Canis lupus familiaris: one gene and its partner. The protein of the gene in region 2 purifies or fractionates together with the protein of the main gene of each other region. This does not show direct contact. Links are inferred from orthologs where the notes say so. Each region holds a gene or a part of one and is shown on either strand. Other genes may lie near its edges. The genes, in order: IKBKB and TRAF3IP2.

What was found.
Region 1: the proteins of TRAF3IP2 (region 2) and IKBKB purify together in Homo sapiens (affinity purification with western blotting; 3 studies listed by BioGRID, with this or other methods). This does not show direct contact. The link is inferred for Canis lupus familiaris from reciprocal best matches to the Homo sapiens genes TRAF3IP2 and IKBKB.

The regions. Positions count from the first base shown.
Region 1 is NC_049237.1:24,149,646-24,154,213, forward strand, and holds the start of IKBKB (inhibitor of nuclear factor kappa-B kinase subunit beta), read right to left. Parts: upstream 3,050-4,568; 5' UTR 2,878-3,049; intron 2,345-2,877; 5' UTR 2,327-2,344; coding exon 2,222-2,326; intron 1-2,221.
Region 2 is NC_049233.1:68,460,293-68,464,102, forward strand, and holds part of TRAF3IP2 (E3 ubiquitin ligase TRAF3IP2), read right to left. Parts: coding exon 3,162-3,810; intron 3,154-3,161; exon of another isoform or gene 2,907-3,153; intron 2,485-2,906; exon of another isoform or gene 2,417-2,484; coding exon of another isoform or gene 2,212-2,416; intron 1-2,211. UniProt on the Homo sapiens protein: E3 ubiquitin ligase that catalyzes 'Lys-63'-linked polyubiquitination of target protein, enhancing protein-protein interaction and cell signaling. Transfers ubiquitin from E2 ubiquitin-conjugating enzyme UBE2V1-UBE2N to substrate protein.

The DNA of each region.
Region 1 (4,568 bases), on a different chromosome or scaffold from region 2:
CATAAATAAGTCATGGGGGGATGAAAAGTACAGCATGGGAAATATAGTCAATAATACTGTGAGAACATTGGATGGGGACAGATGGGGACTATATCTTTCATGGTGAGCACTGTATAATGTATAGAATCGTCAAATCACTATGTTGTACACCTAAAACTAATGTAATAATGTATGCCAACTTCAATTAAAAATAAAATAAAAATGAAGGCTACTGGTTTTCGAATAGGGGAACTTGAAAGTAGTAATTCTAGAAGACTAATCCATACACACAAACACACACACACATTTTTTTCAGGCCCATATCTATAAAGCCAGGAACAAATTCCATCTGACAATAGCTTTCCAAATTCATAGAGGCCATTCTGAGCTAGAAATGACAGACACATGGCACACCTGGACAGAACTCCTTTTGAGGAAAACCATCTCTACTTCAGCTGCTGAGATATTTGCTGCAGTCAAGAATCTAAAAGCTGTGGCCTATCTAGAAGCAGCCCAGCCCAGGTATATGTGGGGCCATAGAATGATCTGGCTCTTATGTTGTAATGTGAGGCCCACAGCTCTACTCGGACCAGAACACATTTGAGCCAGCTGTGGCTCAAAGGAATTCCAGCTGTGGCTGAAAGGAATTCTGGTTTCCCAGTTCAATGTGGGAATTACCACCTCCGGAACTGGACTGTGCCCTCCAGCTCTGGCTCCCACTCCTCCAGGGGTCGTTCCATCTACTCAGAGCTGACAGGACTCAGGGCAGGGCCTAGAATGTCTTCCAACTAACTGATAAAGGAGCGTGGCTGTCTGGAATGACTCTCTGATGTGGCTGGCCAGTAGCCTTGATGACTCTCTCGCTGGCTGCTGCAGCTGGCTCCCAAGAAGTGGTACACTTCCTTTCAGTCCAAAAAAGTGCTCAGCAGCCCCTGATCAAAAAGCAAGTGCTTCCTTCAAGGACTTCGGGGGTCTGATTTTGGAGTCAGGAAGCCAACTTCAGTTACTCAGTGACTGGGGGTTCCCTAGAGCAGTGGTCTCCAAATGGGGTAGATGTGCACCAGGGTTACCCAAGACTGGAATCCAAAACAATTAAATAGAAATTAAGCTTTTTTGATATTAACTTTATGAAATCTTCCTCAGATTATTTTTCAAAGATCATATATCTCGTGGACCCAAGGTATACTGAGGAAAATGGGCATTCCACAGGGAGTGGTGGACAGGGGCCTATGGAGACATGTTTCAGGTTACATGTGCCCCTGCTTAGGTGGATTATGGATCGTAGTATCTGAGGTCAATAAAATGACTCTCACAAAATGGACAAGTGGCTAAAGAAATTTCTGCAGAGGACTTCAGTACATGTAACACCAGCATAAGCAAAAAGGAATATGGAGGAACACTTCTATTGTGAGAAACTAAACTTATTTCAGACACATAAAGAGTAAAAACAATCAGGATCTAATCAGTCAGAAATAGGTCCAAATAATTCCAAATTATAAAAATTATTTGAAATACGGATTTTCACCCACTGTCCTTGATAATTCTCTGTTTCATTATGGATCTGTATAGTCTGTGCTGTGCAGTATTGCAAACAATAGTGGGAACACATAATTAGTATGTATTTAAAATATTTTTGGGGATCCCTGGGTGGCGCAGTGGTTTAGCGCCTGCCTTTGGCCCAGGGCGCAACCCTGGAGACCCGGGATCAAATCCCACGTCGGGCTCCCGGTGCATGGAGCCTGCTTCTCCCTCTGCCTGTGTCTCTGCCTCTCTCTCTCTCTCTCTCTCTGTCTGTGTGTGTGTGACTATCATAAATAAATAAAAAATAAAAATAAATTAAAAAAAATAAATAAATAAATAAAATATTTTTGAGCTAATTCTTTAAACACTTAAATATATTTTACGATGCTCATTCTTTAAATTTTTCAATTTTTGTATTTCAATATTAATACACAATATATTAGTACATGATAGCGTGATGATAATAAAGATACTAGTTTAAGATATATAAAAGTTAAAATATTTTTACAATTTGGGGGCCATAGTCAGTAAAGCTTGGAGACCACTTAGAGGCAGCTGAGCAGCTCGGAAGCCCCCTGACGGTTCCCGTTTCTCACTCCCCCAAGAAGCCCAGGGCCAAGGACGAACCCCGTCCCCCACCCAGCACAGTGTAGGGCGGAGGCAGTTCCCAGGAGCCTGTCTTCCCGGCCTCTGGCTCAGCCCAGGTGCACAGCGCCCCTACCTGATTGTGCCAGCGGATCACGTTTCCAAATCCCCCTGTCCCAAGTCGTTCTTTCATCTCCCAGGCCCCACATGTTTGGGTTGGCAGAGAAGGTGACCAGCTCATGCTGCTGCCGCGCTAACTCTGTAAACAATTTGGTGTAGGGGACAAAAGATCAAGGTTAAGAGAAAATGGAACTCAAGCAGACGGAGAAGCTAAGAGACAACATTGCCCTTCGGTGCGAGAGAGGAGCTGGTTTTCACTTTATAAATGAACCAGGCTGTCTGGTTTGGTTTTGGGTTTGGGTAGCCAACTTTTGTCACCCCCCCACCCCCACCCCGCTCAGCCGTAAGGGAAGGAGGCGGGGAGGACAGTCCCTCGGAGGCCCGCAAAGGGCATCCCCCGGACCGCAGCGAGGGCGCCCTGTCCCGCGCGCTCTGCCCTGGGTGGCCGGGGCACGCTCTCCGGTCACGTGTGTCCTCACACGGTCCCAGAGCCCCCGCCTCCAGGCGGCCCCCGGAGTCACCCCGGCTCCCGCGGTCCGCCCGGAGAACCCGACTTCTCAGCCCGACCCCAGGGTCTCCGGGAGCCTCAGGGAGGAGGGGGCGGGCTCGCGGGCGCCGAGGGGCGCGGGGTCTGCCGGCGGCACCTGGCCCGCGGCCGCCCGAGGGACTCACCTGTCGGCAGGGGCGCGGGGCGGGGCAGCCGCTCCCCAGGACCGGGGAGGCGGGGGCTAGGGCGGCCAAACCGGGGGCTCTGGCGCCTCCCCGAAGACATTAAAATGCGGGAATCTCAAACGGGCCAGCGCAGCGCCACTTCCTCAAACACTTCCTGCTCTGACGTCACGGGGCACGTGGGCCGCGCGCCCTTAAAGGAGCCGCGGCGCCACAGGGGGCCCGGGGGGTCGTCGCCGCGGTGACCCGCCGGCGCGGCGCGCGGCTTCCAGCGGGCTCCCCCGCACCCGGACAGGCGGTGCCCCTGGGGCCCTAAGACGAGCCCGAGTGCGCCGGACTCGGTACACGGTGACTGGAACCTGCGGCGGTTTCTGGGACGGGGGAGACGGGGATTTCCTCCCGGGAACCCTCCGGGGGGTAATGGACGCCGCTTCCTGGGCTGCTCCCTCGCTGGAATTTCCCGCGCCCGCCAGGGTTTCCTTTCGGCCTGCTGACAACTGCCCGGCCCCTCCTCAGGCTGCGTCCTCCGTCCGCAGGGCTCGGCGCTCGGGCTCGGGCTCGGTGTCCAGCACGACCAGTCACGGATGTACTCCCAAGAAGCCACAGCCTCTACTACCCCCTTCACGAAAAATGAAAGGAGGGAAAACCTCGTAGTTTCCGCCGCAGTGATGTAGGGAAGTTGTAAGAGGTTCGCCGGTCCGCTGCTACCTGCCTGACGTGGTAATGAGGTGTGCCGTGGAGTTTCTCAGTTCTGTGCATTGCACTAACACCAAGCTGGTGTGTGTTGGTAGATTGACCCAAGCAGGAAGAGTAGCATTGGAGGAAACCTGAAGAATATAGCTCCCCTTTATAGGATGCTTCCGAAGCGCCGGGCGCTGCCTACACACACTCTGTACTTACAATTCCTTCTGCGGATCCCCAGGGCAACCCTCCACATCGGGAGGGATTGGATTCTTGTTCTTGTTATCCCCATTTTTTAAAAAAGATTTATTTATTTATGATAGACACACACACACACACACACACACACACAGGCAGAGACAGAAGCAGGCTCCATGCACCGGGAGCCCAACGTGGGACTCGATCCCGGGTCTCCGGGATCACGCCCTGGGCCAAAGGCAGGCCCCAAACCGCTGAGCCACCCAGCGATCCCCTTGCTATCCCCATTTTATAGGTGATAAAACTGATGTGCAGATAGGAAAATATGTCCAAGTCACAGGCTAGTAAGTGTATGAACTGATAGTCCAACCCAAGAGGCTGGTTTTTAGGTCCAAGCTCTTAATATTTGATGAAATGTATCATACTAAGAAATTCAGAAGGAGGCAAACTGGAGTTTGAATCCTCACACTGCTATTGACTACTCTGAGATTTGGGGGCCAATTACTTAATCATTCCAAGCGTCTATTTCTCTTCCTTTTTTTTTTTTTTCCAGATTTTATTTATTTATTTGACTGAGAGAGCACAAGGTGGGAGGGGCAGAGGGAGAAGCAGGATCCTTGCTGAACAGGGAGCCTGACACTCACACCTGGGGTTCCATCCCAGGACCTGGGATCATGACCTGAGCCAATGACAGATGCTTAATGACTGAGCCACCCAGGCGCCCCCATTTCTCTTCTTTAAAATGTGGGCAGTATTAGGTTGAATCGAATGAAGTCACCTTTTTTTTTTGTAAAACAAAAACAGTTGAAACACGA
Region 2 (3,810 bases):
GACTGCTCATGGTGTCATTTCAGGCATCAACACACACACAAAATATTTGCAAGTGGGAAGATCTATCTGGGATCCTCAAATCATACTGAGTTAATGCTTTCTTTGTCTGTCACAATGAGGCTTTCTCCTGTTAGCGGATAAAGGGAACTGCCTGGGACTTAATAGCACAAAGCCCTAAGTATTCAGACTTCTACACGTTAATCTAAGGAATTAATCGGAAATGCAGATAAAAAAGTATGTACCTGATGTTCGTCCTAGCTTTGCTTACTGGATCAGAAACTGGAAACTATTTACATTGTCCAGTAACAGAGAGTAGCTTCAAAAACAAGTTGATGGAATCCATCCGATAAAATACGGCGCAGAATTTTTAAATGATGCTGGAAGAAGTGACGGAAAGTCACTGGGAATTATTTTAACTTTACATCAAATACATATAATCTATTTATATATATATATATATATATATATATATATATTTTTTTTTTTTAAGTCAAATCCCAATAAGGAATTATAGTTAGGAGATGGAAATAGGGATGGGACGTTTAGGCACATTTCAATTTTGCCAGCAAACATATATTGTTGCGGATCAGGAAAATGATCTTTAAATGCAGATTGTAGAATGTTAGAAAGTAGTTTATGGCATTATCCTCACAGAATTATCCCCTTTGAACCTGGAAATCATGGAGAAATAAATCCGCCCTGACGCTACCAAGGTTCACTCCTCAGTGATTCATCCCTAAGGAACTCTGCAACCACACCCGTCCTATTACTGGGCACTTAGAGCAAGCAGTGGTGTCCACAACCCCCAACTGGTGACTTCCCAACCTCCAAGACTCAGGGTCCCGGTTTTAGGCCTCAGAGGCTCCTTCTCCCTGAGCCCTGCTGCTTCCACAGCTCCTGGCCTCACCCTTAACCTCACATTCATTCCTCCTTTTTTCTTGCAACCTTATCTTCTAAGTTCCTTTACGACTCAGCTCCAGGGTCCCTCTGGAAAGCTCCCAGACCCATGCCTCCTTCAGGCTCCATTTCCTCGTGCGCTGCCTGTCACAACGCCTGACGTCAGTATGGCATCTGCTCACAGACCGCCCAGGCCTACCTCTCCCTCCAGAACGGAAGCTTTCGTACATCAAGACAAAAATCTCTCCCTCTTTTTTAAAAAAAAATTATGAATTACGCTGCTGGTCCATTCACTTTAGGAAGCTCTATATGCATTGTACATGGACCAATATGTAAATAATTGTGATGGTTACAGCATTTTGGGTTATTTCTATAATTTATTTTAAAGCCAGGCATCAGGCCTTTGGTCAGATTCTGGTCTGACCATTTGAACTGCTTTTTGTACAACATTTATTTGTTAAGAAAACTATCATATCTCATAGCCCTGTTATTTCCCAGTGGCCTCGGCGGAGACTTAACATAAAATATGGGGATCCCTGGGTGGCTCAGCGGTTTGGTGCCTGCCTTTGGCCCAGGGCGCGATCCTAGAGTCCCGGGATCGAGTCCCACGTTGGGCTCCCTGCATGGGGTCTGCTTCTCCCTCTGCCTGTGTCTCTGCCTCTCTCTCTCTCTCTCTGTCTATCATAAATTAAAAAAAAAAAAAAAAATCAAAAACGGACCAGAGCACCTGGGTGGCTCAGTCCGGTAAGTGTTCTCCATCAGCTCAGGTCATGGTCCCAGGGTCCTGGGATCAAACCCTGCATCGGGCCCCCTGCTCAGCGGGACACCTGCTTCTCTCTCCCTCTGCCTGCCGCTCCGCCTGCTTGTGCTCGCTCTCTCTCTCACTCTCTGTCAAATAAATAAAACCTTTAAAAAAAAAAAAAGGAATTGTAATGGACCTTTTGTCTCAATCTGAGACTTGATCACTTTCAGAAATGCTTACTGCAATGACACAATGTATTTACCCAGAAATAATTTACTAAGAGTCTAGTATATGCTGGTCACTGTGCTAAATGCTGGAGAATTATGGATTAAAAATATACCTTTGCTGGGGCACCTGGGTGGCTCAATGGTTAAGCTCCTGGTTCTTGGTCATGAGACTGAGACCTGCTCTGGGTTCCAGACTGGGTGTGGATCTGGCTTAGGATTCTCTCTCCCTCTGCCTCTGCTTCTGCACCCTCCCCTTCCTCACTTCGTGTGCACGTGTGCTCACTCTCTCTCTCTAAAATAATAATAATAATAATAATAATAATAATAATAATAATAATAATATACCTTTGCTGATATGCTTGATGTGCTGGATGGAGAGGTGGACAAGTCCATGACTAGATGCCATACTGATACTAGGTGTTCCAAGCGGTAGAGCGCCAGGAAACTGAGAGCCTGAAGGAGGGATTGATCTGAGGAGCTTTCCAGAGGGACCCTTGAACGAAGTCTTACAAGGTGTATATGATGATGGTTGGATTAGGTCTGCAAGCATACACTGAATTGTACACCTAACTGGGTCAAAGGCGAACTTCACAGTTTGTAAATTAGATCGCAATAAAGCTGTTAAAAAAAGGGGGGCGTAGAGCTGGGTTAAATGTGCAAGGAGGGGAAGAACATCCTGGATAGGGAAGAGCAAGGGCGAGCACTTGCAGGTGTGAAGCAGGTAGCCGGGGTCTGGGGACTGTGGTCCTCGGGGGTGGGGGTGGCCAGGGTGTCAGGTAAAGGCTGGTGGCTGGAGCATCCAGAGGTATTTAAGCAATAGCATCTCAGGAGCAACTCAATCTCCAGGTAAAGGCATGAATCCAGAGCATCAAGAACATTCTGGGAATTTTGACTGAAGGCCTCTTTGCCAAATCTCAGATAGGTTAGAAGCACGCAGTGAAGGAAGAACCCGGATGCCCAAGCATTAAGATGACAAAAATATACCCTAGAAGCCGCTTGGGCCGTCTCCCCACCTGTAGGCAGGTGTCAGCTAAACTAACCGAGACGGAGGGGTCTGTTTCCCCTGGAAGTTTCACGGAGAGTAGGTTCCCAGTGGGGCAGGCGCTGGGCTAGGATGAAGCATCCTCCTAAGGCTCCCGGCAGGTCCAGGCGCTCGGGGACAGTCGCCCCCGGGAAGCAGAGCCGGCCTCGCTGCCCCGACCGGTCTGGGCCGTCTGGGGCCCTGGCACCGACACGAAGCCCCGGTTTCCTTAGTGACCCAGCCCGGAATGTCCAGAAGGGTGGCGTTCACTTACATGGCACCTGGTGATAGGGACCTCCGGGACAGTGGTGGTGACAGTTCCACGGAGCATGCGGGGGAGGGTTGGGAGGCAGCAGCTGCGCACACGCCGGGTACCTCTGAGGTTCGAACTGAGGGAACTCCCGGGACCTGAGCGGCCCGGGGAGGTCCTGGGGGTAACACACGGAGGTGAGGGGCAGGGGCCTCTCCAGCTGCCGGATGCCCAGCACGTCCTGGGGCTGGGAGTCGTAGCCCGTGTCTACCGTGGGCGGGTCCCGGGCCGCTGGGCTCCTGCGGGGCCGGGGCCGCTGCACCGTGTCGTGGCTGCTGGGCCAGGCGCCGGCCGAGGCGCTGGGGCAACTGTGGTCTGAGTGGTCGGAGTCATGGCCAGTGTCAGGGGAGGCCGCTGAAAGCTGAGATCCTGGCCATCGATTCCGTTCTTCCATAAATGAAAACTGCTGCCCGGGAGGGGACGCTCCGACCCCAAAGGGCCGGTCTTTGCCCGGGGCCGGGTGTCTCCTCCAGAAGCTGTCTTCCGTCTCCTCCAGGATTTTAGTGCGCAGGCAGGTGACCTGCTGGGACACAGGCCGGAGGTGCTTCGAAAGTTTCAGGGGTGGGTGGGCCTGAGAAAAGTCTCCTGCAGAGCAATGAGGGGCCGGGGGCGC